Linked DNA regions of Caenorhabditis elegans. The protein of the gene in region 1 purifies or fractionates together with the protein of each later gene. This does not show direct contact. Each region holds a gene or a part of one and is shown on either strand. Other genes may lie near its edges.

The links.
Region 2: the proteins of copb-1 (region 1) and tmed-4 fractionate together in Caenorhabditis elegans (co-fractionation; one large-scale study listed by BioGRID). This does not show direct contact.

What each region holds. Positions count from the first base shown.
Region 1 is NC_003280.10:3,071,830-3,087,364, reverse strand, and holds the start of copb-1 (Coatomer subunit beta), read right to left. Parts: upstream 8,570-15,535; 5' UTR 8,560-8,569; coding exon 8,067-8,559; intron 6,978-8,066; coding exon 6,769-6,977; intron 6,108-6,768; coding exon 6,025-6,107; intron 5,124-6,024; coding exon 4,380-5,123; intron 3,537-4,379; coding exon 2,558-3,536; intron 1,847-2,557; coding exon 1,675-1,846; intron 211-1,674; coding exon 1-210. Other genes in the region: Y25C1A.8 (Zinc finger Ran-binding domain-containing protein 2), read left to right, coding at 10,419-10,551, 10,598-10,697, 11,457-11,643, 12,736-13,004, 14,264-14,485.
Region 2 is NC_003283.11:19,941,475-19,957,069, forward strand, and holds tmed-4 (GOLD domain-containing protein), read right to left. Parts: upstream 7,620-15,595; 5' UTR 7,617-7,619; coding exon 7,503-7,616; intron 7,450-7,502; coding exon 7,345-7,449; intron 7,295-7,344; coding exon 7,124-7,294; intron 5,772-7,123; coding exon 5,604-5,771; intron 5,553-5,603; coding exon 5,475-5,552; 3' UTR 5,266-5,474; downstream 1-5,265. Other genes in the region: dhs-24 (Retinol dehydrogenase 13), read right to left, coding at 644-1,017, 2,572-2,718, 3,785-3,989, 5,049-5,143; Y60A3A.8 (DUF38 domain-containing protein), read left to right, coding at 8,538-8,620, 11,806-12,541, 12,627-12,760, 13,353-13,518; abhd-3.1 (AB hydrolase-1 domain-containing protein), read left to right, coding at 14,023-14,100, 14,146-14,312, 15,070-15,399.

The DNA.
Region 1 (15,535 bases):
GACCATCACGTCGTGAACGCATTGCCGAGCTCAGCTTATCACCCAGTGTCAGGCACATTCCTTGGCTCTTTGCACGGATCCGAATATGACCGACGATCGGCGACGAGTCATCCATCGGAAGAGCCTTCTCGACAGAGACGTTCGCGAGAGCATCTTCACCGAAAATCGAATGAGCACATAGATTGGCTGCCAGGAATCCACAGTCGCCTTCTGCAAGAAAATTGGGTGAAAAATAGGTGAAAATCGGGCGAAAAATCGATTTTTTTTTTGCCCTTAACTGGTTTTTGCTGAGAAATTTCCAATTTTTTGAGATTTTATCCAAAAAAATCGATTTTTTTCCCAATTTTCTGAGGTTTTTGGCTAAAAAATTCGTTTTTTTTTAAATTCTGCAAGTAATTGGGGGTTTTTTGGGGTTTTGGTGCGAAAATTGGGCTTAAAAATCAATTTTTCAGCCATAAAATGTGTTTTAGTGAACATTTTTCATATTTTTTGTGATTTTATCTTAAAAATTCGATTTTTTTCAATTTTTTGCCGATTTTACAACAAAAAAAATCAATTTTTATAAATTCTGGGTGAAAATTCGGCTAAAATCGATTTTTCAGCCCTAAAATGTGTTTTAGGAAATATTTTTCAAATTTTTTGAGATTTCCTTCAAAAAATCTGGTTTTTTTTTTCATTGTTTGAACTTTTTGGCTGAAAAATGCAAATTTTTTCAATTCTGGAAAAATTGGGCGAAAAATCGATTTTTCTGCCCAAAAAAGTTGCATTTTGTGAAAATTTAAATTCGATTTTTTTGGGGGTTTTAGCCAAAAAAAAGGCTAAAAAATCGATAATTTTTCAATTTTCCTGCTAATCCACACGAATTTGCGTGCGAAAAATCCAATTTTTGTCCTAAAATGGTTTTTAACTGAAAAATTCGAATTTTTCACAATTTTTCGAGAATTTTCCAGCTAAAAATTTATATTTTCGAGAATTTTGGGCGAAAAATCGATGATTTTTCTGCCTTAAATTGATTATTAACGAAATTTTTCCAATTTTTCAATGTTTTTGGTTGGAAAATTCGATTTTTTTTTAATTTTTAATTTAAAAATTCGAATTTTTTCAATTTTTAGAGGTTTTTTGCCGAAAATTCAAATGTTTATTTTTTTTGGGTTTAAATAATTTGGGTCTAAAAATTGAAAAAATTCGAATTTTTAAATTAAAAATTAAAAATTTTCCAACCAAAAACATTGAAAAATTGGAAAAATTTCGTTAATAATCAATTTAAGGCAAAAAAATCGATTTTTCGCCTAAAATTCTCGAAAATATAAATTTTTCGAAATTTTTAGCTGGAAAATTCTCGAAAAATTGTGAAAAATTCGAATTTTTTAGATAAAAACCATTTTAGGACAAAAAATTGGATTTTTCGCACAAATTCGTGTTGATTAGCAGTAAATTGAAAAATTATCGATTTTTTAGCCTTTTTTTTGGCTAAAACCCTTTAAAAATCGATTTTTTTAGACGAAGATCTTGAAAAAATTTAAATTTTCACAAAATACAACCTTTTTTTAGGCAGAAAAATCGATTTTTCGCCCAATTTTTTCCAGAATTGAAAAAATTCGCATTTTTTTAATCTTTAAAAAATCCAATTTTCCAGCCAAAATCCTCTCGAAAATGTTCTCGTTTTCCCCTTACCAATCGCCGCATCTCCAGTCAAAACCTTCATATTCGTAGATGTCGACAAATGATTAAGGAAATCCCGTAGATCACGAATCGGCGTCATCACGTTCACCTTATTCTCCCATTCGAAATCACTCCACATTGTACGGAATTCTGTGTCTGTCACGTTGCCAGGCACTATGTAATCCTGAAATATATGGGAAAAATTTACTGAAATTGGCCAAAAATTCCAGAAAAATTCAAATTTTAACTGAAAATTGGGGCGAAAAATTCAGGAAAAAAAAATTAATTTTTACTTATATTATCAAAAAAATCCTGAAAATTGAGAAAATTGACTGAAATTTTACGAAAAATTCTAGAAAAAAATCAATTTTTAACTGAAAATGTTTAAAAATTCAATTTTCTGGCTGAAATTGTCCAAAAACCATGAAAATCACAACTTTTGACTGAAATTTTACGAAAAATTCGTAAAAATTCAATTTTTGGCTGAAATGTTTAAAAATTCAATTTTTGACTGAAAATGTCCAAAAACCATGAAAATCACAACTTTTGACTGAAATTTTACGAAAAATTCGTAAAAATTCAATTTTTTGACTGAAAATGTCCAAAAATCACGAAAATCATAACTTTTGACTGAAATTTTACGAAAAATTCGTTAAAAACTGAATTTTTGACTGAAATTCTTTAAAGATTCCAGTAAAATTCAATTTTTGACTGGAAATTGCCAAAAAATTCAGAAAATGTCATATTTTGACTGAAATTTTACGAAAAAATCGTAAAAAATCACAATTTTGGCTAAAAATTGCCCGAAAATTTTCGAATTTTCAGCTGAAATTTCACGAAAATCCCCAAAAAATCTCAATTTTTCGCTGGAAAATCCACATGAAAACCCGCGCACCATAATATCAATCTTAATATCCTGCAAATAGACACAATTCCGATCCGACGTAGATCCTGTCACATCATACGAAATCGTTGAAAAGATCACACCATTCTCCGTCGACGCAACCTTCACCGTCGCTTTAATATTCGAAAAATCATTGGGAGCAAGTGTAACCGGTGTCGGCTTATCGACAAGCTTCAAGTCTCCAACAGTGGCGAGCTCAAGGGAAACATTTTGAAGTGTATCCGATGTTTGATTGACAATGAGCACGTCGAGCACAATATCATACTGATTCACATTGACATAGGCTTCAGCGTAGATTGGATCCGAAAATCCGGCGAGTTGAATCACTTTTCCCAGTTTTGAGCTCGAAAAGTCGAATTTTTGAGCCTTCGGAGCTGTTCCAAGAGCCTGCGAGAGCGATAAGTCGAACAAATTCTCGCCTTGCTGGTTGCTCCGAGCAGAGAGCTGCGTAAAATTGATAGTTTTATCAATTTCCACAAAATCTTTGGATCGATATCCAGCAGCCGTGGTGGAAGCCATCTTCTCAGTAGTAACATCAAGCCGACTAATCGACTTGGCTCCGAGCATCAACTCTAAACTCTTCTTACAATCGTCGCCGTACTGCTCGTCGAGCCCCGGAATCCCTTGAGCCAAAATCTTAATTGTTGCTCCCATTCGATCGAGATCATCCTCGTTGACTTGTTGATGCACAATGCACAGCCCACTCTTTGCCAAATGAATAATCGACGAGAGGATAAGCATACACTCGGCTCTGAATCGATTCGCACGTTCGCTCGCGGCTCCGTTGAGCTCGGTGAATTGTTGGGCGAGCTTCGTGAGCACTGTGGCTAGCGATGCTCCGAGGAAGAACTCGCCGTCGAGCAGGAAACGTCGGAGTGGCGGCTTCTCGTTCTTTTTTGACGTGGTTACAGTGCTCGAGAGAGCCGTCTGAGTGGCGTACGTTCCGTCTGCAGTGACTTTCGGTTTTTGCCTGAAAAATTCGAAATTTTTATTTGAAAAAATTGAAAAAATCAAATTTTTCAATTTTTTGCGGGTTTTTCCAAATAAAAAAAATCAATTTATTTTCAATTCTGGAAGAAAATTGCGCAAAAAATCGATTTTTTTTCAATGATTTTTTGCGGGTTTTACCAAAAAAAATGCGATTAAATCGATTATTTTGAAAGAAAATTGGGGGTTTTGGGGTGAAAAATGATCGAAAATTAGGCTAAAAAATAGATTTTTTGCCATAAAATGTGTTTTTGTGAACATTTTTCAATTTTTTAATTTTTTATGGATGAAAAATACGATTTTTTTTCAACTTTTTACGGGTTTTATCAAAAAAAAAAGTCGATTTTTGTTTTAGTGGACATTTTTCAATTTTTTTGAGATTTTATCCAAAAAAAATCGATGGTTTTTGCCTAAAAAATTGAAATTTTTTCAATGTTTTAAAGATTTTCATTTGAAAAAATCGATTTTTTTCAATTTTTTACGGGTTTTACCAAAAAAAAAAACAGAGATTTTTTCAAAATTCTGGAAGAAAACTGGGTTTTTTAGATTTAAAATTTTCATTTTTTAAGAGTTTTAGCGAAAATTAAGCTAAAAAATCAATTTTCCGCCGCGTCTGTTCGACATGGATTTGTTCAAAAAATGAAGGAATTTCAGGGATTTGGGGGTGAAAATTTCGCAAAAAATCGTTTTTTCGATTTTTTCTGCCCTAAAATCGTTTTAGGGAAAATTTTTTTGAATTTTATTCATTTTTCTATTTATTTTTTTTTGGTTTTTACTCGGAAAATTGCGATTTTTTCCCAATTTTTCGAGCGGCAAAAAATCGTACTTCTGCTGCTGCTCGGGCTGCTGCTCCTCCGGCTTTTGCTCTTCCTGCCCAGAGAGCTCACTATCCACAAGTGGAAGCTCTCCAAGAGAGTTCTTAACAAGCTTGAGCACATCCAGAGCTCCATCGGCTTCACAGTACGTCGCAAGGATCCAGAGGGCTGACATGAAGATCGTAGGCGATTGGATGAACGGAATACCTTCACGGAGAGCTCCAAGGATCGCGTTTTTCAGGTTAGGAAGCTTATGAACAGCTTCACGAACGAATTGGAGCACATATGAGGAGGCTTTTTCATTGGTGTCTGATAGGAACTCCATGAGCACTGGAACAATAGTTGAAGCAACGTCTGGAAACTTGATAGTCGCCGCGTGAAGCGTCTTGACAAGCTCCTGCCGATATTTTCCATTTTCATCGTTGGATTCGGTGGCGGTTTTATTGATTTCCTTCTTCAAAAACATCACCATATCCTCGACATTTCGGCTTGAAACCAAATCCAACGCCAGGCTCAGCGTTTTTTTGCGAACTTCTAGGCCCGGCGAGCTGAGCACACGAAGAATATCCATGACAAGTCCTTGGAGAATCTTTTCGTTGCTCGACGAGCCGCGAAGAGCCACAAGCCGGTCGAGAACGATGAGCTTCACATTGTTATCCGACTCTTTGACTATCAGGTCGATGTAGGCACTGGCGGCGGCCTTCACGGCGGCTGGTACGTTGGAGAGGGTGACGAGGGTGCCGGCGGCTTCGTATCTGCAATTTTGAGCATTTTTTCGGTGAATTTTCGCGAAAAAATTCGTGATTTTCCAGTTTTTGGAGCATTTTGTGAAAGTTTTAGTGTTAAAAAAAAAAGAAAAATTAAACAATTTCCCAGGTTTTAGTGTCTAAAAACTGCGTTTTTTTCTAATTTTTCCGCTCATTTTTTCAAGAAAATCGCACAATTTTCAGGCTTTTCGGGTTTAAAAATCGTAATTTTCCAACTTTTCGCCTATTTTTTTTTATTTTGACGGAAAACGCGAAATTTTCAAGGTTTTGAGTGGTTTTTGTGGGGATTTTCGGGAAAAATTCATAAATTTCCTATTTTTCGCCTATTTTTTCCGGTAAAATCTCAAAATTTTCCAGGTTTTCAGTGTTTTTCAGGCTAAATTCACAAAAATTGCAAAATTTTGGAGGTTTTGGAGGTCTCAAAACTGCAATTATCTGATTTTTCGCCTATTTTTTTTTGACAAAAATCGCGGAATTTTCAAGATTTCGGGGTCTAAAGACGGTAATTTTCTAACTTTTTATCTTTTTTTTTTTCAGAAAAACGCGAAATTTTCACGGTTTTGGGGCTTTTGGCGTCTAAAACTCGATTTTTTTGAGAATTTTGATAGGTTTTTCAAGAAAAAATAAAGATTTAATTATTTTTCAGCTTATTAACGAAAAAATTGCACAATTTCCAGGTTTTGGAGCATTTTTTTCGAAAAAAAAAAACTCAACATTTTTCATTTTTTCAGGCTATTTTTCGAGAAAATCGCTGAATTTTTAAGGTTTTGGGGTCTAAAAATCGTAATTTTCCAGTTTTTTCGCTAAAATCGCACAATTTTTATGGTGTTGGCGATTTTTTGTCCATTTTTTCCAGGAAAATCCGTCATTTTTCCAAGATTTTCCTCACCTAACGGCTGGTGATGATGACTGAAGAAGATTGTAGACACATCTGATGAATCGGGAAGCCTCGTTTGGATTATTGTGGCAAACCTGAAAGAAAATTGGAGTTTTTGGATGATTTCGGCCATTTTTTTTCAGTTTTTTCGGTTAAAATTGGAGGAAAATCATATTTTTCGATAAATTTATCGTATTTTCGTTGAAAAAACCAATTTTTAGTTAATTTTAAAATTAAAAATCGATTTTCACACATTTTTATAGTGAAATTTCTAGATTTTCACGATTTTTCTGAGATTTTTGCTTAAAAGTTCATATTTTCATTCAATTTTCATAAAAAGCGACGTTTTAAATGAAAATTCTCCGTTTTTTTAAAACAAAAATAGCCTGTTTAACAAGTTTTTCTCAAAAAATCGATATTTTCAATCAATTTTCTTGAAAATCGCCGTTTTTAATGTAAATTCTCCATTTTTCAACGAAAAAACGCCATTTTTATAGCTTTTTTACTCTAAAATTCACATTTTCAGTTAATTTTCATAAAAAAAGTGCCGTTTTTAATGGAAATTCTCCGTTTTTTAACAAAAAAAAAAACCCCATTTTTACAGGGTTTTGTCAGATTTTTCCTTAAAAAACCGCAATTTTCTTGAAAATCGCCGTTTTTAATGAAAATTCTTCGATTTTCAACGAAAAAAACCCCATTTTTACGGGTTTTTTCTCAAAAAATCGATATTTTCAGTCAATTTTCCACAGAATGCACCTTATAAATGAGTTCAACAATAACGAGCTGCAATATATCTCCAAAAGATCCGACTTGATCGATACATCCCGATAAATAGTCAAGAGCACGAGCTTGATCTACGTGAAGGAGCATCATAAAAGCGTTACGCTTGCACGAAGCATCTTGCTCCTGTTCAAGGTATTCTGTGACGAGCTCCGGTGCGTCTGGGATCAGGAATTCAAAGTTTTCTGGAAAAAAAGCGGGATTTTTGGATTAAACGGGGAAAAAATGATCAAAAAATGCGAAAAAATCACCTAATTTTAGCTAAAATCATTAATTTTGGTCAATTTTCCGGTCCCGAAGTTGGTTTTTTCTCAAATTTTCACCTTTTATTGCATATTTCCATTGATTTTTCGTTAATTAAGGTGCATTTCAAGACCAAACTCGCATTTTTAGCTGAAAAATACGATTTTTCCTGGTTTTTTTGCAGAAAATATGACATTTTTAGCTGGAAATCTGCAAGTTTTTCAGGTTTTTCCCTGAAAAATTCGATTTTTCTGCTTAAAATAACGAAATTTTACGTATTTTTAGCTTAAAACATCAAAAAGTCGAATTTTTTTTCCATCTTCCAGCTTAATAATCGATTTTTGGCAACAAAAATCAGACAAAATGCTCATTTTTCAGCTGAATATTGGCATTTTTGCCGTTTTTCAGCGAAAAATAGTCAGAATTTCGTTGGAAATGTGATTTTTCTTGAAAAATCATGAAAAATCGTATTTTTCAGCAAAAAAACTGAAAAAAAAACCCCAAATTTTAGCTGAAAATGGGATTTTTGCCATTTTTGGCTGACAAAATCGCATTTTCAGCTAAAAATGTGTTTTTTGGCATAAAAATTGTAAAAAATCGTATTTTTCAGCTCAAAAAACATGAGAAATCGCAATTTTCACCAAAAAAAACTGAAGAAACCTTCAAATTTCGGCTAAAAATGCGATTTTTGCCATTTTTGGCTGAAAAATTCGCCAATTTTCAGCTAATAAAGGGATTTTTTCGCAAAAAATCGCAAATTTCACCGAAAATGAGCCTAGAAAATCGCATTTTGGAGCAAAAAATCAAAAATCTTAAGAAACCCTCAAATTTCGGCTAAAAATGCGATTTTAGCCGTTCTTGGCTGAAAAATTCGCCAATTTTCAGCTAAAAATGCGATTTTTTGCAATAAATGTACCTTTTATCAACTAAATAACGTAAAATATGCAATAAAAGGTGAAAATTCTTGGAAAAAAGTCATTTTTCGCATTTTCAAGCCCATTTCAGGCCTAAATAAGCCCAAAAAAACTCACTATAAATAGTGAAAATCGCGCAGACAGCGTTACGACGAACATACGAGTGCCGATGCTCCAAACAAGCTCTAATCGCCGGCATAAGCGGCTCGAGAAGCTCGGGCTCACGGAGTTTGCACAAAAACCGAAGGGTCGAACCGCGAACGAACTCATTCGGGTGTTGAAGGTCTTTTCGGTAGGCATCGCACACCAGAATCATCTCGTGGAGCAGCTTTCCATTGGAATCCGTCTTCGGAACACATTCCCAGAAGATCAAGAGCACTTTTTTAAGGGTGTGCTCATTGGATGGAAGACAGAAGCGGATGACGTACATTAGCATGCTCTGCGACGTTTTTTCTCCGTTTAAAATCATGTAAATGAGCTTTTTGAGCGCCTCAATTCGCTCTTTATCGCCTCCTTTCTCGAATTTTTCCTTCAATTGAGCTTCTGATGGGAGCTCAGCGTCACTGGGCACGTGGATGAGTGTGTAGCATGGTTGCTCTCCGGAGCTCATTGTGGAGGAGCTGGAAATTCGGGTTTTTTGTGGGGAAAAGAAAGAAAAAAGTAGAGAAAGTTCACGTTTTAAAAAAAAATTTGTGAAAAAATTGAATTTTCCAGCTAAATCGCATTTTTCTGTGAAAAATCATCGAAAATCATCGAAAAACGCCAGAAAATGAATAAAAATCGTCAAAATACGCTGGAAAACCCCCGAAAATCGCCTTTAAGCATGAAAAATGCCCAAAAACGTCAGAAAATGGATAAAAATCATCAAAAAACGCTGTAAATGACAAGAAAATCACTCTGAAGCATGAAAAATGCTCAAAAACATCAGAAAAATCAAAAACATCAGAAAAATTGAATTTTTGACCATTTTTAACCCTAAAACTCTTCGAAATCCAGCTGAAAACCCGATTTTTTAGTCAAAAATTCCGTTTTTTGGCGTAAAAATCGGAAAATCCCGGCTTTTAACCTAAAAATTAGGTGTTTACTGAAAATTTCCAAATTTTCGGCTAACAATCCCCATTTTCAATCGATTTTTTCCATTTTTCACTGAAAAAATCAATTTTTTAGCTTAAAAATCGAAAAATATCGGTTTTTAAGCTAAAAAATCAGATTTTTACTGAAAATTTCCAAATTTTCGGCTAAAAATCCCCATTTTCAATCGATTTTTTCCATTTTTCACTGAAAAAATCAATTTTTTAGCTTAAAAATCGAAAAATATCGGTTTTTAAGCTAAAAAAATCAGATTTTTACTGAAAATTTCCAAATTTTCGGCTAAAAATCCCCATTTTCAATCGATTTTTTCCATTTTTTCAGTAAAAAATGCCAAATTTTTTACTAAAAATGCAAATTTTCTGACTGTTCTTGTAAAAAAATTGAAAAAATTCAATTTTTTGGACAATTGTATGCAAAATTCGCCTTTCCCTCGGTTTTTTTTTGTGGTAAAACCCCGCGAAAATTCGCTTTTTTTGCCTTAAAACTTAATTTTTAATGGAAAAAAAAACGCGAAAAGTTGCAAAAATCCACAAAAAATGCGATTTTTGTTAGTTTTAGCTGAAAAAAATTGCATTTTTCAGCTAGAAATCTGAAAAATCACACAAATTGTTGCTAATAATGCAATTTTTGCCAGTTTTGGCTGAAAAAATTGCATTTTTCAGAAAAAAATACTGAGAAAACCACCAAAATTCTGCTGATAATGGGATTTTTTGTCGTTTTTGCCTGAAAAAATCGCATTTTTCAGCAAAAACTGTAACTTTTTCTGCAAAAAACACAGAAAATCGAATTTCTAATGGAAAAAAATCGCAAAAATCCACAGAAAACTACGGAAAAAGTTGCGAAACTTGATTTTTCACAAAATTCTCTCATTTCGCCTGGTTTTTATTGATTTTTTGACAGAAATCTAGGCTTTAAAGCTGTAAAACCCAATTTTCAACGACAAATTGATTTAAATTGACCTAATTCAACGCCACGTCACTTTTCACTCTTTCTACCTGTTTTTTATCGATTTTTGCCGCTTTTTCGACTGAAATATAGCTTTAAAAGCTTCAAAAATCAATTTTTAACCTCAAAAACCCACGAAAAAACGAAAAAATCCGCTGAAAACCGGCAAAAATCCACGTAAATCGCCGGAAAAAGATTGGAATCTAGATTTCTCGCACAGTGACGTGGTTCTCGCCATCCACCGTACCCCGTGACACAGCGGCGGGCAAATCGTGGCGAGACCCGGCCGCATTTTGAAATGTGATAATTTACACGGAAATCGACACAAAAAGCTTAAGTTCTCTCGGTTTTTCGTGTTTTTTTCACGAATTCCTAGTGATTTTTTATTTTTTATTCAAAAAAACGCAATAAAAACCCGATTTCAGTCAGTAAATGTCGTCGAAATACGACGATGATCGAGAACAAAAGCGTCGAGCGCTGAAAGACGGTGAATGGGCGTGTGTCGACTCGAAATGTGCCAAAGTAAACGAAGAATCACTTCTTGTATGTGATGAATATGGAAAACGTGAGGTTTTCGACGATTTTTCACCCCAAAAATTATCGATTTTCAGCGAAACCGCGCGCGAAAAGCAAAATTGGCAAGGAGCTGGGCAAGGAGCAGGCGGAAAAATCGAAAGGACTATTTGCAGCTGAAGATTGGGTTTGTTCAAAGTAAGATTTTGATTTTTACCGAAAAATTGGAAATTTTCAGTAAAAACCTAGTTTTTAAGCTAAAAAACCGGGATTTTTGCCTGAAAAAATTGAAAAAAAGATTAAAAATTGGAAATTTTCAGTAAAAATCTATTTTTTAAGCTTAAAAACTGGGATTTTTCGATTTTTAAGCTAAAAAATTGGCATTTTTGCCTGAAAAAGTTGAAAAAATCGGAAAAAAATGCAGATTTTTTGCTGAAAAATTGAAAATTTTCAGTAAAAATCTGTTTTTTTAGCATAAAAACTGGGATTTTTCGATTTTTAAGCTAAAAATCAAAATTTTCGCTTGAAAATATTGAAAAAATTGATAGAAAATGCAGATTTCTAGCCCAAAAATTGAAAACTTTCAGTAAAAATCTAGTTTTTACGCTTAAAAACCGAGATTTTTCGATTTTTCAGCAAAAAAATTGGCATTTTTGCCTGAAAAAATTGAAAAACTCGATTAAAAATGCAGATTTTTAACCGAAAAAGTTGGAAATTTTCAGTAAAAATCTATTTTTTAAGCTTAAAAACTGGGATTTTTCGATTTTTAAGCTAAAAAATCGGATTTTTTGCCTGAAAAAATTGAAAAACTCGATTGAAAATGCAGATTTTAGCAGAAAAATTTGGAAATTTTCAGTAAAAACCTAGCTTTTTAAGCATAAAAACCGAGATTTTTTGATTTTTAAGCTAAAAAATCGGAATTTTTGCCTGAAAAAATTGAAAAAACCCAATTTCCAGGTGCGGAAACGTTAACTGGGCTCGCCGACGGACGTGTAACGTGTGTAATGCTCCAAAATTGGCGGATTTGGAGCGTAGAACAGGCTATGGAGGTGGATATAATGATCGGCAGAACGTTGAATACGTAAAACGCGATTATGATGAGGAATTCGACGAGTTTGGGCGGAAAAAGAAGAAAAAGGGTGAGGTTCGTGCGGAAATCGGATGGAAATCGGGCGAAAAAACACGAAAAACGGCCCAGAAACGTCAGAAAATGGATAAAAATCATCAAAAAGCCCCGGAAAATGCTCAAAAAAAACCTGAAAATGGATAAAAATCATCGAAAAACGCCAGAAAATGAATAAAAATCGTCAAAATACGCTGGAAATGACCAGAAAATCACTCTGAAGCATGAAAAATGCTCAAAAACATCAGAAAAATTGAATTTTTGACCATTTTTAACCCTAAAACTCTTCAAAATCCAGTTGAAACCCCGAATTTTCAGTCAAAAATTCCGTTTTTTTGGCGTAAAAATCGGAAAATCCCGGTTTTTAACCTAAAAAATTAGGTTTTTACTGAAAATTTCCAATTTTTGGGCTAAAAATCTCCATTTTCAATCGATTTTTTCGATTTTTTTCCAGTAAAAAATGCCAATTTTTAGCTTAAAAATCGAAAAATTCCGGTTTTTAGGCTAAAAAATCCAAAATTTCAGCTAAAAAATGCATTTTCTATCGATTTTTTTCCATTTTTCACTGAAAAAATCAATTTTTTAGCTTAAAAATCGAAAAATTCCGGTTTTTAGGCTAAAAAAATCCAAAATTTCAGCTAAAAATGCATTTTCTATCGATTTTTTTCCATTTTTCACTCAAAAATCGAAAAATATCGGTTTTTTAAGCTAAAAAATCAGATTTTTACTGAAAATTCTCAATTTTTGGGCTAAAAATCTGCATTTTTTTCTCGATTTTTTCAATTTTTTTTGCACTAAAAAGTCCGATTTTTTAGCTTAAAAATCAGATTTTTACTGAAAATTTTTGAATTTTTGGTAAAAATCTCCATTTTCTATCGATTTTCTCCAATTTTTGACAGTTTTCAGCCGAAAAATCGAAAAAAATACTACAAAAATTTCGATTTTAATCCTAAACCCTGTTTTTCAGTCAAAAAACTTGGAATTTAGCAGATTTTTTTTGCTTAAAAATCGAAAAATTCTCAATTTTTCGGTTAAAAATCCAAAATTTCAGCTAAAAATCACCATTTTCTATCGATTTTTACCAATTTTTCACTAAAAAATTCAACTTTTCAGGATCAATTTCGAGATATGGAGGAAGGAGAAGCTTCGGATGATGAAGAAATTGCTGTAAAAGATGATTTGAAAAAACGGACTCCACGTGGAGAAGATGAAGCCGACGAAGACGATGAAGCCGATGAAGATGAAGATGAGGATGGAGAAGATCTTGGAAAATATAATTTCGATTTTGATTCCGATCCGGAATTAGTGGAAAAAGTCGAGAATTTGAAGAGCAAAATTGTGGCGGTGGCGGCAGCTGGCTCGGAAGCCTGTGATGACAGCGAGTTAGTGCGAAAAATGAGGAAAAATGGATGAAAATTGACGAAAATTGGCGAAAAAATGAGGAAAATCGCTAAAATTCGCCAAAACTTGACTGAAATTGGCGAAAAATCGCTAAAAATTGAGAAAAATTGACCGAAAATTGAGGAAATTGACGTTTTTTTACCAGAAAAATTGAATTTTTTCGCTGAAACGTTGCTAAAATCGAAAAAATGACCCGCTTTGTAGCGGAAAATCAATTTTAAATTGACTAAAAATTGAATAATTCAGCTTAAAATTTAGAAAATTTGCATCAAAACAACCTAAAACCATACTTATTCTCTGAAAATCCCTCCTTAAATTCGCTGAAAAACTCGAAAATTTGCCCGAAAACTGGCTGAAAAGGCTGAAAATTGTGTACATTTTTATAATTCTACCTGGAAAAATGCTTAAAAATCACAGAAAATTGAATTTTTCGACTAAAAACGTCTAAATTTCAGAGAAAAATCAAGTTTTCATCGGGAAAATGCTAAAAATTTGATGAAAATATCGATGTTCTTCCTCAAAAAATTGAAAAAATCACTTTTTCTCCGCGAAAAAGGTGAAAATTGCTCAAAATCCATCAATTTTTCGATTTTCTACCTTAAAAAATACAGAAAAATCACTTTTTCAGTGGGAAAATACCAAACTTTTCCTGAAAATATCGATTTTCGTACTTAAAATTGCTCAATTTTCACATTTTCTGCCTCAAAAACTACAGAAAAATCATTTTTTCCTACTGAAAATCCCAAAAATTCACTGAAAATGCCGTTTTTAGTGCTCAAAATTGCTCAATTTTCACATTTTCTACCTCAAAAATTACAGAAAAATCACTTTTTCTCGGCGAAAAAGCTGAAAATTGCTGAAAATTGGCTCAATTTTCATATTCTCTACCTAAAAAAGCAATGAAATCACGCGAAAATGCCAAAAAATTCACTGAAAATATCGATTTTCGGACTTAAAATTGATCAATTTTAATATTTTTTAACTGAAAAAGTTAAGAAAAGTCGGTTTTTCGCTGCGAAAAAGCTGAAAAATGCTCACAATTCATGAATTTTGCGGTTTTTTTGCCTCAAAAAGTTGAGAAAAATTAATTTTTCAGTAGGAAAATGCCAAAAATTCACTGAAAATGCGGTTTTTAGTGCTCAAAATTGCTCAATTTTCACATTTTCTGCCTCAAAAACTTCAGAAAAATCACTTTTTCCTACAGAAAATCCCAAAAAAAAAACCAATCTAAAATTTTCAGATGCTCATGCTCATGCTCGGGCGGTGAATGCTCTTGCCCAGAAAGTGAAGATGAAAAGGAAAAAGATCGTCGAAAAATGCACAAAACATCACGAGAAAGGGATCGTGAAAGCCATCGGAAACGGAGCAACTCACCGAGAGATCGTGATAGAAAGAGAGGAAAAAGAAGTCGGAGTAGAAGCCGAGAAAGAAGTTATCGGGATGATCGGAGAGATCGCAAGAGGTGCGGAAATTTGCTGAAAATTGGCTGAAAAATCGCTGGAAATTCGTCGAAAATTACCCGAAAATTCACCGAAAATTGCCTAAAATTCGCTGAAAAATGGATGAAAATTCTCTAAAAAATGGCCTAAATTGGCTGGAAAATCGCTGAAAATTCGCCAAAAAATTACTTAAAAATGGCCGAATTTCGCTGAAAATTCGTCGAAATTGAATGAAATAAGAACTCCCTGAAAAATGGCTGAAAATTCGCCAAAAATTCGCCGAAAATTCCCCGAAAATTCGCCGAAAATTCCTCGAAAATTCGTCGAAAATTCCCCGAAAATTCGCTGAAAATTCACCGAAAATTGCCTAAAATTCGCTGAAAAATGGATGAAAATTCCCTGAAAATTTCCTGAGAATCCTTTGAAAATTCCCTAAAAATTCGCTAAAATACGCCAAAAATTCGCCGAAAATTCCCTGAAAATTTCCTGAAAATTCTTTGAAAATTCCCTAAAAATTCGCTAAAATACGCTGAAAATTCGCCAAAAAATGGCAGAAAATTGCCGAAAATTCGATGAAAATTCGTTGAAAAATCATTTAAATACGCCAAAAATTCGTTGAAAATTCGCTAAATTTAGCAGAAAATTCCCTGAAAATTCGTCGAAATTGTGCCTAAAAATGGAAGAAATTTGCTGAATATTGGCCGAAAATTGGCTGAAAATCGCCAGAAAATTAAAAAAAAATTTGCCAGTTTTTTGCTGTAAAATCAGATTTTTCGAGCTCAAAAATGCGAATTTTCATGAATTTTTTGCCATTTTTCCTGTAAGAAACCTTCGAAAATTGTGTAAATTTGCTAGAAATCAACGAAAAAAGTACAAAATAACTGCCGGAATTTTAAATTTTCAGCTCAAAATGTGAATTTTCTGAGAGTTTTTTAAAATTTTTTGAAGCGAAACCCTCGAAAATCGTGCAAATTTCCTAAAAAATCGACGAAAAAATACAAAAAAACTGCCGGAAAATCGATAAATTTGCCAAATTTTCGCTGAAAATTGCTCTAAAATTGGAATTTCGAGGT
Region 2 (15,595 bases), on another chromosome or scaffold:
ACACCCTCTTCCCCCCAACTTGACCTCCCGGGCTATAGCTGGTCCAACTGGTCATTTTACTTATTTGTTCACACATCATTTTATTTACTTTATTTTTTATCTTCCGGTGTAGCTCTTTCTTGTGACAAATAAACAATATTATTACTAACAACATTATTACTAATACCTAACAATATTATTATTATTTACTAACACTAATATTATTAATTACTAATAACATTATTACTAATGCCTAACAATATTATTATTATTTACTAATAATATTATTATCATTTACTAACACCAATATTATTAATTACTAACAATATTACCATTATTCACTAACAACTTTATTATTAATTACTAACACTAATATTTCTATTTACTAACACTAATATTATTGATTACTAATTTTAATTTCAATTATCCAGTCTAAACTACGAATTTCCTTATATATGCATTTGCCGATTTTTCATGAAACAAAAATCGATTGCTATAAGTTTATTTTTTCGAATGTTTGAATTCTATACTTTAAAACAATTTAATAACAACATTGGTTTCAAAATCGTAATATTCTCTTCAAAATTACGATTTTCACTTCAATTTTTGAATTTTCCACACTTTTTAATGATTTTTTTTTCAATTTTTTTCAATTTTAAGCTACCTAACAATTTTGAGCAACCACCGGCTCAAAAAGAACGTCTGTCCATCCATTTGAGCCGACAAATTCGACTTTGTTCGTCCAGGATCTGCCATTAAAACGTGAATATTCGTATCGGAAAGCCTCTCAGAGAGCTCTTTCGTAAAAAGAGCCGACGCCAGTTTCGAGTGCTTGTAAATCTCATATCCATCGAATTTTTTCCCGGCGTTTTCTGAGTTGAAATCCGCCAAATTTAGGTCACACTTTCGATCGATAATATTCGAATTTAGAAATACAATTCGGACGGGATTCGGCTGGGCGAGGAGCTTGTCCAAGAGGAGTCCGGTGAGCAAAAAGCTTCCCAGGTGATTTGTGGCGATGGTTTTTTCGATTCCATCCTGCAAAAAAAGATTGGGAATTTTTCAGTGTGAAAATTTGAATTTTTGAGTGAAAATTTGAATTTTTCAGTGTGAAAATTTGAATTTTTCAGTGAAAATTGGGAATTTTTAAGTGAAAATTTGAATTTTTAAGTGAAAATTTGAATTTTTAAGTGAAAATTTGAATTTTTAAGTGAAAATGTGATTTTTTAAGTGAAAATGTGATTTTTTAGTGAAAATTGGGTATTTTTAAGTGAAAATTTGAATTTTTGAGTGAAGATTGGGAATTTTTAAGTGAAAATTTGAATTTTTGAGTGAAAATTGGGTATTTTTAAATGAAAATTTGAATTTTTAAGTGAAAATTTGAATTTTTAAGTGAAAATTTGAATTTTTCAGTGTGAAAATGTGATTTTTTACGAAATTTTTCACTTAAAAATTGAAATTTCGTGTCGAAAATCCATTTTTACTCAAAAAATTTAGAAATTTGGCGATTTTTGGTTACTGTAGCCTCAAAATCTCCGCATACACCAGGCTACAGTAACCCAAGACACCAGATTTTACGACAATTTGCACAAAAAATCGAAAAAATAGAATTTTTGGGTAATTTGTCATGAGAAATCTGAATTTTTTACGATTTTTCTTTAAAAAAAACCAGTTTTCGCCGTTTTTAGTGCTGAAAAATGGGAATTTCGGCGAATTTTCAAATTTTCATGAAAAAATCCAAAGTTTTCACGATTTTTAATTTAAAAATTAGGAAATTTCGGTGTTTTTAGTGCGAAAATGTGATTTTTTGGTTTTTGGGGTACTGTCACCCCAAAAGTCCGCAAACACCCGGCTATAGTAACCCAAAACACCAGATTTTACGACAATTTGCACTAAAAGCCTTTTTTATTCAAAAAAAACTAGTTTTCAGGTAAAAACACAGAAATTTTCATGATTTTTACCTGAAAAATTGTGCTGTTTTCAGTGCAAAAAAGTCATTTTTCCGAGTTTTTGGGTTACTGTAGCTCCAAAAGTGTCCGCAAACACCGAGCTACAGTAACCCAAAACACAAGATTTGACGGAAAAATACACTAAAAGCCCATTTTAGTCCCAAAAAATTAATTTTCAGGGAGAAAAACAGAAATTTTCATGATTTTTATCTGAAAAATCGAAAAATTAAGGTGTTTTCACAGTGAAAAAGTGATTTTTCGTTTTTTGGGGTTACCGTAGCTCCAAAAGTCCGCAACCACCAAAGCTACAGTAACCCAATACTCCAGATTTCACGACAATTTGCACTAAAATTCAAAATTTTCGGTGGAAAATCAAGATTTTTCGTTTTTTTCCGGAAAAAAAAGTCATTATTTTCGTAAAAAATCGGAAAGTATGGGGCATTTTCCGTAATTTTTCACTTTTTCCATCAAAAATGACCCAGAAATTCGAATTTTCCATCAAAATTCTCGTTTTTGGACATTTTTTATCGAGAAAACTCGAAAAAAAAAACCGATTTTCACCAAAAAATAACCCAGAAAATCGAATTATTAGGTCAAAAACCGCGAAATTTTGAATTTTCAGGCTAAAAAAGCGAATTTTTACTTTATTTACAGCCCGTTCACTCTGCATCATCGCCGCATTATGCACAATTCCATCAATTCGATCCAATTCGAATTTTCCTTTGGACAACTTTTGGACAAACGTTCGGATACTGTCAAAATCTTCCAAATCGCATTGACGGCAGTATACCTGGAAACAATCAGGGATTTTTTGGGGAAAATTAGCGAAAAAAAAACACAAAAATCGGTGAAAAATGAGCATTTTTCAGCTCAAAATTGACTTTTTTCTCATTTTTTCCAGATTTTCACTCGAAAAACCGGCAAATTGACATTTTGCCGTTTTTTAACTGAAAATTCGTAAGTTTTACAAAATTCTGTGAACAATGCGATTTTTAGACATTTTTCGAGCCGGAAATGAATTTTAATTGTATTTTCCTGACAGTCGGCTGAAAAATACATTTTTCGCAATTTTTGCCCTTTTTTAACTGAAAATTCGTAAATTTCTAGGATTTTTTACAGGAAAACTCATATTTTTCATCAAAAAACTGGTTAAAAATGCAATTTTCCAGCTCAAATCGATGAAAACTTCTGTTTTTCAGCTTCAAATTGCCATTTTTATCGAGAAAATCGTCGGAAATTCACAATTTTCGGGTAAAAATTGAGTTTAATTCAAATTTTTGCCAATTTTCACTCAAAGTTTCGTGAAAAATGGGATTTTTAGACATTTTTTTCCAATAAAAATGAGCCTTTTTGAGCGAAAAATCGATTTTTAGAGCGAAAAAAATCGATTTTTTGACATTTTTCGAGCCGAAAATGAATTTTAATCGGATTTTCCTGAGAAATCTGTTGAAAAATGCAATTTTCCAGCTCGAAATTGACATTTTTTGCAATTTTTCCGGTTTTTTAACTGAAAATTCCTAATTTTTTAGGATTTTTACAGGAAAACTCATATTTTTCCACAAAAGACAGGTCAAAAATGCGATTTTCCAGCTCAAATCGGTGAAAATTTCTGTTTTTCAACTCCAAATTGCTGTATTTATCGAGAAAATCGTCGGAAAATTGCAATTTTCGGGTAAAAAGTGGATTTTAATCGATTTTTGCCGATTTTCACACAAAATTTCGTGAAAAATGCGATTTTTCAGCAAAATTAGCCGATTTATAGCCATTTTTCCGGGTAAAAATCGATTTTTAACCGAATTTTGGTGAAAAATTCAATTTTTCAGCTCATTTTCGTCCGAATCGTCTCGAATTCCAACCTGCTTGTTCCTGGTATTCAGGACAATATCCCGGCGAACTTGAACGCATTTCTCGCGATTCCGGCAAGCCATAATGACACGTGCATTACGTTTTGCCAGTTCTTCTGCAGTCGCCTGGCCGATGCCTGAGGTGGCACCGGTTACGATGTACGTTTTGCCGGCAAGATCCTCGTGAAGATCGTATTTGGTGCCTGATTGGGTTGAGCTGGAAGTGGAAAAAGTGAAAATTTAGGTGTTTTTAGTGGAAAAATGGCGAAAAAAGCTTGAAAATTGGGCTCGCAGCGCCCGAAAACGTGTAGTTTGTAGTCTAAGCAGCGCCCAAAACTTGTAGTTTGTAGTTTAGCAGCGCCCAAAACTTGTAGTTTGTAGTTTAGCAGCGCCCAAAACTTGTAGTTTGTAGTTTAGCAGCGCCCAAAACTTGTAGTTTGTAGTCTTAGCAGCGCCCAAAACTTGTAGTTTGTAGTTTAGCAGCGCCCAAAACTTGTAGTTTGTAGTTTAGCAGCGCCCAAAACTTGTAGTTTGTAGTCTTAGCAGCGCCCAAAATTGAATTAGCAGCGCCCAAAACTTGTAGTTTGTAGTTTTAGCAGCGCCCAAATCTTGTAGTTAGTAGTTTAGCAGCGCCCAAATCTTGTAGTTTGTAGTTTTAGCAGCGCCCAAAATTGAATTAGCAGCGCCCAAAAAATTGTAGTTTGTAGTTTAGCAGCGCCCAAAAACGTGTTTTTTGATCAATTTTTCGTGTAAAAACTCAATTTTTTCGCTGAAAATTCGATTTTTTGCACAAAATTTCAATTTTTGACCAATTTTCATCAGAAAACACCTAGTTTTTGATCATTTCGCAGTAAATTTGAGGAAAAATTGGATTTTTTTAAAGAGAAACGATCTATAAAATTAAGATGACGTGGATTAGTGGAAAAAACCGCTTTCGGTAGGTTTTTCGGGAAAAATGAAGAGTTTTGAAGCATTTTTGACGAAAAATCGATTTTTTCAGAATAAATTTCATTTTCATTCGGTTTTTTCTGGGTGAAAATTGAACTAAACCGAATTTTTGATCAGTTTTCTGTGAGAAATCGAGAAAATTTCCTTGAAAAGACAAATTTCAGAGCTAAAAACTAAATTTCCCGTGTTAAAATCGATTTTCCGGCTGAAAATTTAATTTTCAATCGAAATTTATCGATTTTCATATTTTTATCGGATAAATGTGATTTTTTCCGCTGAATTTCTGGTTTTTGACGCATTTTCTCCGGATTTTCAATCGAAAACTTACTCCCAAACGTGGTATCCACCATAGGCGAGCCCAAAAGCCGAAAATCCGACAGACCAAGGGGAGGTTAAGCCCTGAATCAGGCGGCGGCCAGCCATTTCTTCTGAAACCTAGAATTTTTGGCCTAATTCAAGTCTGAAACAATTTTTTTTGAAAAAAAAAATACAAAACCGCAGACTTGTTACTGTAATTTTTGAGTTTTAGAGCTTACTTACAACATTTTAAATTAATTTTTCGCGTTATTTAAATAATAAATACACATAGAAAAAAAACAAATAAATTATAAATTATAAATTGTCTACCCTCTGGAATCGATAAAAATCGATCAAAAATACATTAAAATTCAAAAAAAAAACGGGAAAAATAGGGAAAAATAAAGAAAACCAGTAGAATTTGGTGGGAAAAGTCAAAAAACTGAAAAATCGACGTCTAGACAAGCTTCTTGGCCTCGAAAAATCCACGAAGATGACGCATTTGCCAGGCACCGGTGATGGCAAGAACGACGACCTGAAAAATTGCAAAATTTATCGATTTTCAGCACAAAATTCGGCAATTTACTTGAGCAATAGACCAGTAGAAAACTCGCGAATTGGTAGATTCAGAAGTTTGACGGAATCTCTCTTCACGATATCTTTGATAATTCTGTTCTTTTGTGATTTGGTCGACTTGGTCCAAAAGTTGACGAATACGGAGTTGAAGCTCGTTCAGCTTGTCCTTTTGGGCGATCTGGAAGAAAATTCGGTGATTTTTGGGTGAAAATGTGGAAATTTTGCGCCAAATTTGTAGTTTGTAGTGTTAGCAGCGCAAAAATGTTGAAAATTTGAAGGAAAATGGGTTTCGCAGCGCCAAAAAGTTGTAGTTTGTAGTTTAGTAGCGCCCAAAACTTGTAGTTTGTAGTTTAGCAGCGCAAAAATGTTGAATTAGCAGCGCCCAAAACTTGTAGTTTGTAGTTTTAGCAGCGCCCAAAATTTTTTTTATCACAAAATTAGTGTTTTTGCATGAAATTACATGTTTTTGATCTATTTTCGAGTGAAAACTCAATTTTTCACTGAAAATACGATTTTTTTGCACAGAATTTTAATTTTTTGACCAATTTTCATCAGAATGAGCCTGGTTTTTGATAATTTCACAGCAAATTTGAGGATTTTTTCGAAGAGAAATTATCTATGAAATTATGATGACGTAGACGAAGTGAAAACGCCATTTTTTGGCAGGTTTTTCGGGAAAAATGAGTTTTGAAGCATTTTTGACGAAAAAGCGCCCAAAACTTGTAGTCTGTAGTGTTAGCAGCGCCCAAAATTGAATTAGCAGCGCCCGAAACTTGTAGTTAGTAGTTTAGCAGCGCCCAAATCTTGTAGTTTGTAGTGTTAGCAGCGCCCAAAACTTGTAGTTTGTAGTGTTAGCAGCGCCCAAATTGAATTAGCAGCGCCCAATATGAATTAGCAGCGCCCAAAATGAATTAGCAGCGCCCAAATCTTGTAGTTTGTAGTGTTAGCAGCGCCCAAAAAGTGTAGTTTGTAGTGTTAGCAGCGCCCAAAACTTGTAGTTTGTAGTTTAGCAGCGCCCAAAAAGTGTAGTTTGTAGTGTTAGCAGCGCCCAAATTGAATTAGCAGCGCCAAAAACTTGTAGTTTGTAGTCTAGCAGCGCCCAAATTGAATTAGCAGCGCCCAAATCTTGTAGTTTGTAGTTTAGCAGCGCCCAAATTGAATTCGCACCGCCCAAATCTTGTAGTTTGTAGTGTTAGCAGCGCCTAAATTGAATTAGCAGCGCCCAAATCGTGTAGTTTGTAGTCTTCGCAGCGCCCAAAATTGAATTAGCAGCGCCCAAATCGTGTAGTTTGTAGTTTTAGCAGCGCCCAAAACTTGTAGTTTGTAGTTTTAGCAGCGCCCAACTTCAAATTGGTGAAACTTTGCATTTTTTAAGTGAAAAATTCGATAAAAAACTGATTTACAGCTGTTGTCAGCCTAAAAAATCAGTTTTTCAGAGCTTTTTTCACGATATTCATCAATTTTCATCCTAATATCTCCATTTTCAAGCGTTTTTTCTCGATTTTCGTCCAATTTTCGCTCTTCTTCTACCTGAGCATAGTCCTGAGCGTGATCTCCGGCCTGAATATCAAGATGAACACGAAGTTGGGCTCCGTTGAACCACGCAGTACTGTTGGAATAGATACAAATGACGTGCTCTCCTGGAGTATTCGATGTGAAAGTGAAACGGCCTTCGGCGGTGTACAATTTCGAAAGAATAACCTGAAAAATCGGGGTTTTTGGCTTAAAAATTGAGAAATTTCTGCGAAAACCTTGTCCTCTGGATCCTTAACCTCGACGTGCATTCCAATATTCGGATAATCTCCGTATCCCTTCGTATTTGGGTCGTATAATTGTACTTTGTAGTTTCCGGTCACCTAAAATATTGTTTTTTTTTGTGATTTTTCCGAATTTTTGAGCCTAGAAATACCATAGTCTCGTCTGGAATCTCCTCGATAAAGCATTTCTTCTCAGTTTCCGCAATATGGAAGTAGAGAGAATCGGCGTAGGTGGCCAAGCTAAGAAGTGCGATGAGAAGACGCATTTTCTGAAAAAAATTTGGGGATTTTGAGGGAAAAAGTTTGAAAAGTGAGGCAAAAACGAACAAAAGAGCAATTTTTAAACTCAAAAATTGAAAAAAAACACGGAAAATTTTTCTTTTATAGCGTTTTCTGCCGATTTTCTGCAATTCTCCAGCTAAATTCAAAAAAATAACACTTTCCGGCCCGAAAAATCTTAATTTTCACATTAAAAATCAAGAAAACCACTGAAAAACTAGGAAAATAAAGGTGTTAGAGCCAAATTTCGTTTTTACCGTTTTCAGTCGATTTTCTACGATTTTTAACGATTTTCAAGCAAAAAACCAGCGAAATAGCACTTTCTGACCTCAAAAATCCCGAAAAAACAATGAAAAACTATGAAAAATCGACTTTTTTCAACAAAAATCCGCCAAAATAAGTCCACGTTGTACTGGGTCCGCAAACACTGCGTGGTACGCAAACACCACACTTGACGACAGTTTTCTGGTTTGTTGGGTTTTTAAGTGAAAAATTGGGTAAAAGCAGTGAAAATTAGACGAAATTGAATGAAAAATTGTGAAAAATGAGTAAAGCTTTGATATAATACAGAAAAAATTTGGGAAAATTGGTTGAAATTGAGCCAGAAAACAGAAAAATCTAAAAATTAATTAAAATTCTTCAAACATCCACATTTTTTTCCTCGTTTTCTGCAGATTATCTGAAAAATACCGTTTTAAAGATTTTTCGAATCAAAACTCATCAAATTCCATCAATTTTCACCTTAAAATTCCCCAAATCGCAAGAAAACTCGCCCCACCGCTCACCACCGCTTTTTTCATTTCCAAACAAATATTTGTGTATTTCGCAATTTTCTATAAAGCTTATCACATTTCCAAGAACGTATTTGAGTCATTTTCAGTCGAAAACCGCTCAAAAATTGACGAAAAATGCCGATTTCGGAGCCAACTTGGGCAGAATTGCCGTTTCTCTTCAAATCCGCCGTCGTCGAACTGTTGCCGTACAAAAATCGGTGGGTTTTTGTTGATTTTAATGTTAAAAATTGTCTAAATTGCAAAAATCGCGCCTAAAGAAGGTCTCACAGCGATTTGTAATATTTTGCGCAACGAAATTTTTAAAAATTATATATTTTTTGAAAGTTTTGTTAAAATTAACCCAGTTTCAGCAATTTTTCACATTTTTCGTCTCAAAATCCTGTAAAAATTTGAAAAAACCTATAAAAAACGCTCAAAATCGAATTAGCAGCGCCAAACTACAAACTACACGTTTTGGGCGCTGCTAATTCAATTTGGGCAATCTATCTCATGCTCACATTTCCCATGCACACATTTCCCATGCTGACATTTTCTCCCGTGCATACAAAATATTCCCATGCTTACGCCCAGTAGTTCGAGTACTCCCATGCCTACAATTAATTTTTCTCCTTTTTTTCCGTTCCCATGCTGACACTCCCATACATACATTTTCTCCCGTGCATACAAAATATTCTGATGCTTACATCCAGTAGTCAAAGTACTCCTATGCCTACAACTCATTTTTCCCTTTTTTTTCGTTCCCATGCTGACATTCTCATACATACATTTTCTCCCGTGCATACAAAATTCCCATGCTTACATCCAGTAGTCGAACGTTCCCATGCCGACATTCCCACACATACATTTGTTCCCATACTTACAAAAATGTATTCCCATGCCGACATGGAACAGTTTTGTGCTCCAGAAAAACACAAAGTCAATTTTTTTGCTAATTTTCATTGTATTAGGCTTACTTGACAGCTTTCAGTTACAACTGATCGCTTTTTTTTTCAAAATGCATTAGTTCTCGATTATGAACAAGGAATCGAAGAAAAATGGGGATGACTGCCTATAGAGTAAAATTTTTTTTTGCTCAAAAAAAAATTTTTTTTTTGTAAATTTTTTTTCTCTCTATTTTGTAGGATATAATTAATTCGGTGAATTCCACAACTTCAAATGTTCATATTGCTGTTTCCGTGCAGTTATGAGTTTCGCAGTGTCTTAGGAACATCCCATTTTTTGTTGCATTTTGTAGGAATTCGGAGCTATCTTATAATTTCTACAAATTAGAAAATCCATTTCGCATTATTTCATGTAACTTGAACCTATTGCTCTTCAAAAATAGCACAGAACGAATGTTGATTCTGTTTCTTTCATTAAAAAATGTGGTACTGTGCATTTTTTCCCACTTCTACGACTTTAAAGGCGCGCGAATTTTCGCGCAATAATCTCGCCACGCGCATCCCATTGATTTGTTGAGCGCTGGCGAGACCAATGACGGGACCATTTTGTATAAATGCGCGCGCCTTTAAAGTCGTAGAAGTGGGAAAAAATGCACAGTAGCACATTTTTTAATGAAAGAAACAGAATCAACATTCGTTCTGTGCTATTTTTGAAGAGCAATAGGTTCAAGTTACATGAAATAATGCGAAATGGATTTTCTAATTTGTAGAAATTATAAGATAGCTCCGAATTCCTACAAAATGCAACAAAAAATGGGATGTTCCTAAGACACTGCGAAACTCATAACTGCACGGAAACAGCAATATGAACATTTGAAGTTGTGGAATTCACCGAATTAATTACATCCTACAAAATAGAGAGAAAAAAAATTTACAAAAAAAAAATTTTTTTTTGAGCAAAAAAAAATTTTACTCTATAGGCAGTCATCCCCATTTTTCTTCGATTCCTTGTTCATAATCGAGAACTAATGCATTTTGAAAAAAAAAGCGATCAGTTGTAACTGAAAGCTGTCAAGTAAGCCTAATACAATGAAAATTAGCAAAAAAATTGACTTTGTGTTCTTCTGGAGCACAAAACTGTTCCATGTCGGCATGGGAATACATTTTTGTAAGTATGGGAACAAATGTATGTGTGGGAATGTCGGCATGGGAACGTTCGACTACTGGATGTAAGCATGGGAATTTTGTATGCACGGGAGAAAATGTATGTATGAGAATGTCAGCATGGGAACGAAAAAAAAGGGAAAAATGAGTTGTAGGCATAGGAGTACTTTGACTACTGGATGTAAGCATCAGAATATTTTGTATGCACGGGAGAAAATGTATGTATGGGAGTGTCAGCATGGGAACGGAAAAAAAGGAGAAAAATTAATTGTAGGCATGGGAGTACTCGAACTACTGGGCGTAAGCATGGGAATATTTTGTATGCACGGGAGAAAATGTCAGCATGGGAAATGTGAGCATGGGATAGATTGCCTTCAATTTGGGCGCTGCTAACACTACAAACTACAAGTTTTGGGCGCTGCTAATTCAATTTGGGCGCTGCTAAACTACAAACTACAAGTTTTGGGCGCTGCTAATTCAATTTGGGCGCTGCTAACACTACAAACTACAAGTTTTGGGCGCTGCTAATTCAATTTGGGCGCTGCTAACACTACAAACTACAAGTTTTGGGCGCTGCTAACACTACAAACTACAAGTTTTGGGCGCTGCTAATTCAATTTGGGCGCTGCTAAACTACAAACTACAAGTTTTGGGCGCTGCTAATTCAATTTGGGCGCTGCTAACACTACAAACTACAAGTTTTGGGCGCTGCTAACACTACAAACTACAAGTTTTGGGCGCTGCTAATTCAATTTGGGCGCTGCTAAACTACAAACTACAAGTTTTGGGCGCTGCTAATTCAATTTGGGCGCTGCTAACACTACAAACTACAAGTTTTTGGGCGCTGCTAACACTACAAACTACAAGTTTTTGGGCGCTGCTAAACTACAAACTACAAGTTTTGGGCGCTGCTAATTCAATTTTCGGCGCTGCTAAACTACAAACTACAAGTTTTGGGCGCTGCTAATTCAATTTTGGGCACTGCTAACACTACAAACTACAAGTTTTGGGCGCTGCTTAGACTACAAACTACAAGTTTTGGGCGCTGCTAATTCAATTTTCGGCGCTGCTAAACTACAAACTACAAGTTTTGGGCGCTGCTAATTCAATTTTGGGCACTGCTAACACTACAAACTACAAGTTTTGGGCGCTGCTTAGACTACAAACTACAAGTTTTGGGCGCTGCTAATTCAATTTTGGGCGCTGCTAATTCAATTTTGGGCGCTGCTAAACTACAAACTACAAGTTTTTAGAGCTAAAAAACTCATTTTCAGCCCGATTTTCATGATTTTTGTACCAAAATTTGAGTTTTAACACAATTTTCTGCAAATTTTCAGCTGCTGCCTCCGAAAATGCTCAAAATCGGACCAATTTCTCGTCGATTCAACTCCAAATCACCTTCATGACGTGGCAATTCATACCTGCGAGAATTACACAGTTTTCACGTATTCCGATTCGCCGGACACCGTCTTTACACTGAAATATTTCAAGAATATCGGCGAAAACGACCTGAAAATCGAGTATTCCGAGTCTCCAGTGCTATTTGTGCCGGGAAAAAATCAGAAATTCATTTTTAAAACGTCAATCCACGTGGAAAACCTGGCCAGCGAAGCTGATGACGTGGATTTTGCACTGGACGATTTTAAGCTTCTGCTGAATAGGTTAAACTGCAAAAAGTCGATAATCAACATGATTCCGAATCAATATAATCCTATCGCACATCCGGATAGAACCATCGAATTCCGTCAAAGACTCCTAGACCTGATGACGTCATCATTCCCGAAAAAATCGATAAAATCCAAGTCACTAGTCATTCATTGGCATCAAGAAACACAAGAAATCGCTGAAATTCTGCAAGTTTTCCACACGAAAACCTTGAAAAACTTGGAATTCCATGATAGAAACGCCACGTGGCACATGGCGCCGATTATCGGAACGGAGCAGTGGAAGGGAGCACGATCGGTGCTCTTGGAGCACCTTTCAGATGTGAAAATTGAGGAATTGAAGGATTTTAATGAGATTCAAATGCATGTGAGGGATTCGGGGGAGCAAGAGCTTTGGACGGTGATTCAGGTGCATTTTTGAGAAGATTTTCGGTTAAAAATGAAATTTTTAACCTGAAAACTTTAAATTGTAGTGAAAAATTCAAATTTTTCAGAATTTCATCCGAAAAAACCTGCATGGCTCGTCATTCCATTTCACATATCGTCAAGCTGAGCCGAATGTCGATCGAATTCTTGCAACATTTAATGTTCCGCCAAGAGATGAACCAATTACTGCCAGGACACGATTGTAAGGGATTGAAAATTTGGAAAAACTCATAAATTCGCTTTTTCGAGCATTTTTAGGTGTAGATTTCTAGAAAAAACTAGTGGAAAATAGCTTAAGAGCAGCTATAATATTATAGAAATGCCAAAATTTTGCTCTGAGCGATTTTCCACAATACTTATATAGATACATACTTATCTACCTATATGACCTATATAGGCCTACATGGAACCTACATACCTAATATATATATATATATACCTAATGCCGACATGCCTAATAACTATATACCTAGGCAATAGCGAAATATCTAATACCTACATACCTACCACCTATATACATAATGCATACCTAATAGCTATATACCTAATAACTGTATATATACCTACTTACCTATATGCCTCATACCTATATAGTATATACCGAATATACTATATAGGTATGAGGCACACACATATATACCTAATAGATACATACCTAATAACTATACATCTAATACCTATGTGCATAATACCTATGTACCTAATACAGGCCTAATAGCTATATACCCACATGCCTACATACCTATCTATGCCTAAATTCCTAATTCAGTAGTATAATTTCAAATTCTTTACAGAAGATCCGTGCTCGGAAGCCGATTCATTCACACTCAACGTTTCCAGATGCCATCTACTGATCTTATTCTAGTAGTCATGATTTCAGAAAAAGAAGTGATGGGTACGGTATGCCACGTGGATCAGGTCAATGTTGAAGCGAAAGTCGAGAGAGGACTCTTGAGATGAAGAAGGATTTGTGGAAAATTAAGTTTTAATTTTTTTTTTTTTTTGAAAAAATATCGATTATTATTGCTTTATTATCATCCCCCGAGTGTGTATATTATGTATAACCTGTGAATAAACATTTTTTTTTTGGAATAATTTATTGAATTAGAATGAAAGAATATGGAAATTTAACAAGTATTGTTACCTTGTATTATTATTTGTTAGCACGAAAAAAGAATTTTGAAGAAAATTTTTTTTTTGAAAAATTCAAAAAAAAAATTTTTTTTTTCAAATTTCTGAAAATAACGTTAAAATTCACCCAAACACCACATAAAGCTACAAGTAAGCTGGTTATTTGATTTTTTGCACCCACAACGTGCAAACACTCTAGGAGACTACAATGTAGCCTCCCTTCTCCTCTTCTCTACTCACCAGAGAACCACCACATCGATTTTGCGTCTTTTTTTTTTCGTTTTTCTTCTTTTTTCATTTTCAATTTCATTTCTCTATTTTCAGAATTAAACCATGGTTATCACCTTAATTCTGATCTCAATTATCATATTCCCCATACTTTTATGGTTATACTCATGGTACATCACTGATGTAAGCTTGTTAAAAAAAAAATTTAAAAAAAAAAAAAGATTTCAGATCCCAAAAGTGTACGTCAAATCGGGTACGAAGCTTTACGAGAAGGTGAAAGCGAATTTGCGGATTTTGGAGCAAAAGTACCATCCGAGTTGGTGGTGTCCGTTTGGAACTACTCAGACTATTGTTCGCCAAGTCTTCCGTGACTGCCCGACTCTTCCCTTCAAGCGGTAAGTTTTAATATTAGCCTAATATAGTGGTGAAATTTGAGAAAATTAGGAAATTTTATACCGAAATTCATGAAATTTCACGGATTTTGGCAGGTTTTGGTATAAAACATTGTTAAATATGATAAATACTATCAAAAGTTGTCCTGAAACATGTAGAAGTAGTCAATTTTAGCCGAAAGGCAAAATTCTAACTAATCATGTAATTTCGGCGGAGAATTTTGACAGTAGTTCGAAAAATTTCATAGAAATTGAAATTTTTGGCCTAAACGTATTCAAAAACATGGTATTTTGCCCAATTTGCCCATATCTAATGCCTACTCACCTATGTTCCTAATACATTTATACCGAATACTTATACCTAATACTTACATACCTATTACCTACATATCTAATAGATACCTAATAGCTATATACCTAATGAGTATATATCTAATAACGTGGTAAAATACCAGAAAATCACAACATGTTGAGTAGAAATTCAAGAAATTCAAAAAATTATTGCAATATACTTAATATACCTAATATATTCATACGTAATAGCTATATACCTAATACCTACATGCCTACTACCTATACGTAAAAGCTATATCCTACCTAATGACTATATATCTAACATGGTAAAATACCAGAAAATCACAACATGTTGAGTGGAAATTCAAAAACTTCAAAAAAATTCACAAAAACTCAAATTCCCGATCAAGAATTACGTTGATAATCAAATTTTGCTCTAAGATTCCATAAATTCCCCGATTTCCAGAGAAATCGTCGAATTCTCCGATGGCGGTGCTGCTGGAATCGATTGGCTCATCCCAGAAGGAGCCGATGACGATGCTCCGATTGTAGTATTTCTGCCAGGAATCACTGGAAGTACCCATGACTGCAGTTACGTATTGCATCCAGTTATGGAGGCTCGTGATAAGGGATGGCGGAGTGTCGTTGTGAATCAACGTGGGCTCGGCGGGGTTAAGCTGAAGAATAGTCGAACTTATAATGCTGCTTCCTGTGAAGATTTGGAGTTTATTTGTAAAATGATCAAGGAGAGATTCCCAAAGGCCAGGAAATTCGGATGCGGTTTTTCAATGGGAGGGTGGGATATTTAAATTGAATGTTTTGAAAATTCTAAGATGTGAAATTAGTACTTAGTACTTATTATTATTATTAATAGTATATCAGAACCTAGTAAGAACATAAGTCATCTAAAAATATAAAGAGATTGTAAATTTCTGAAAGATTGTATGTATAAGTACTTTATTATGTGTTAGAAGTAGTATTAGTATATTAGT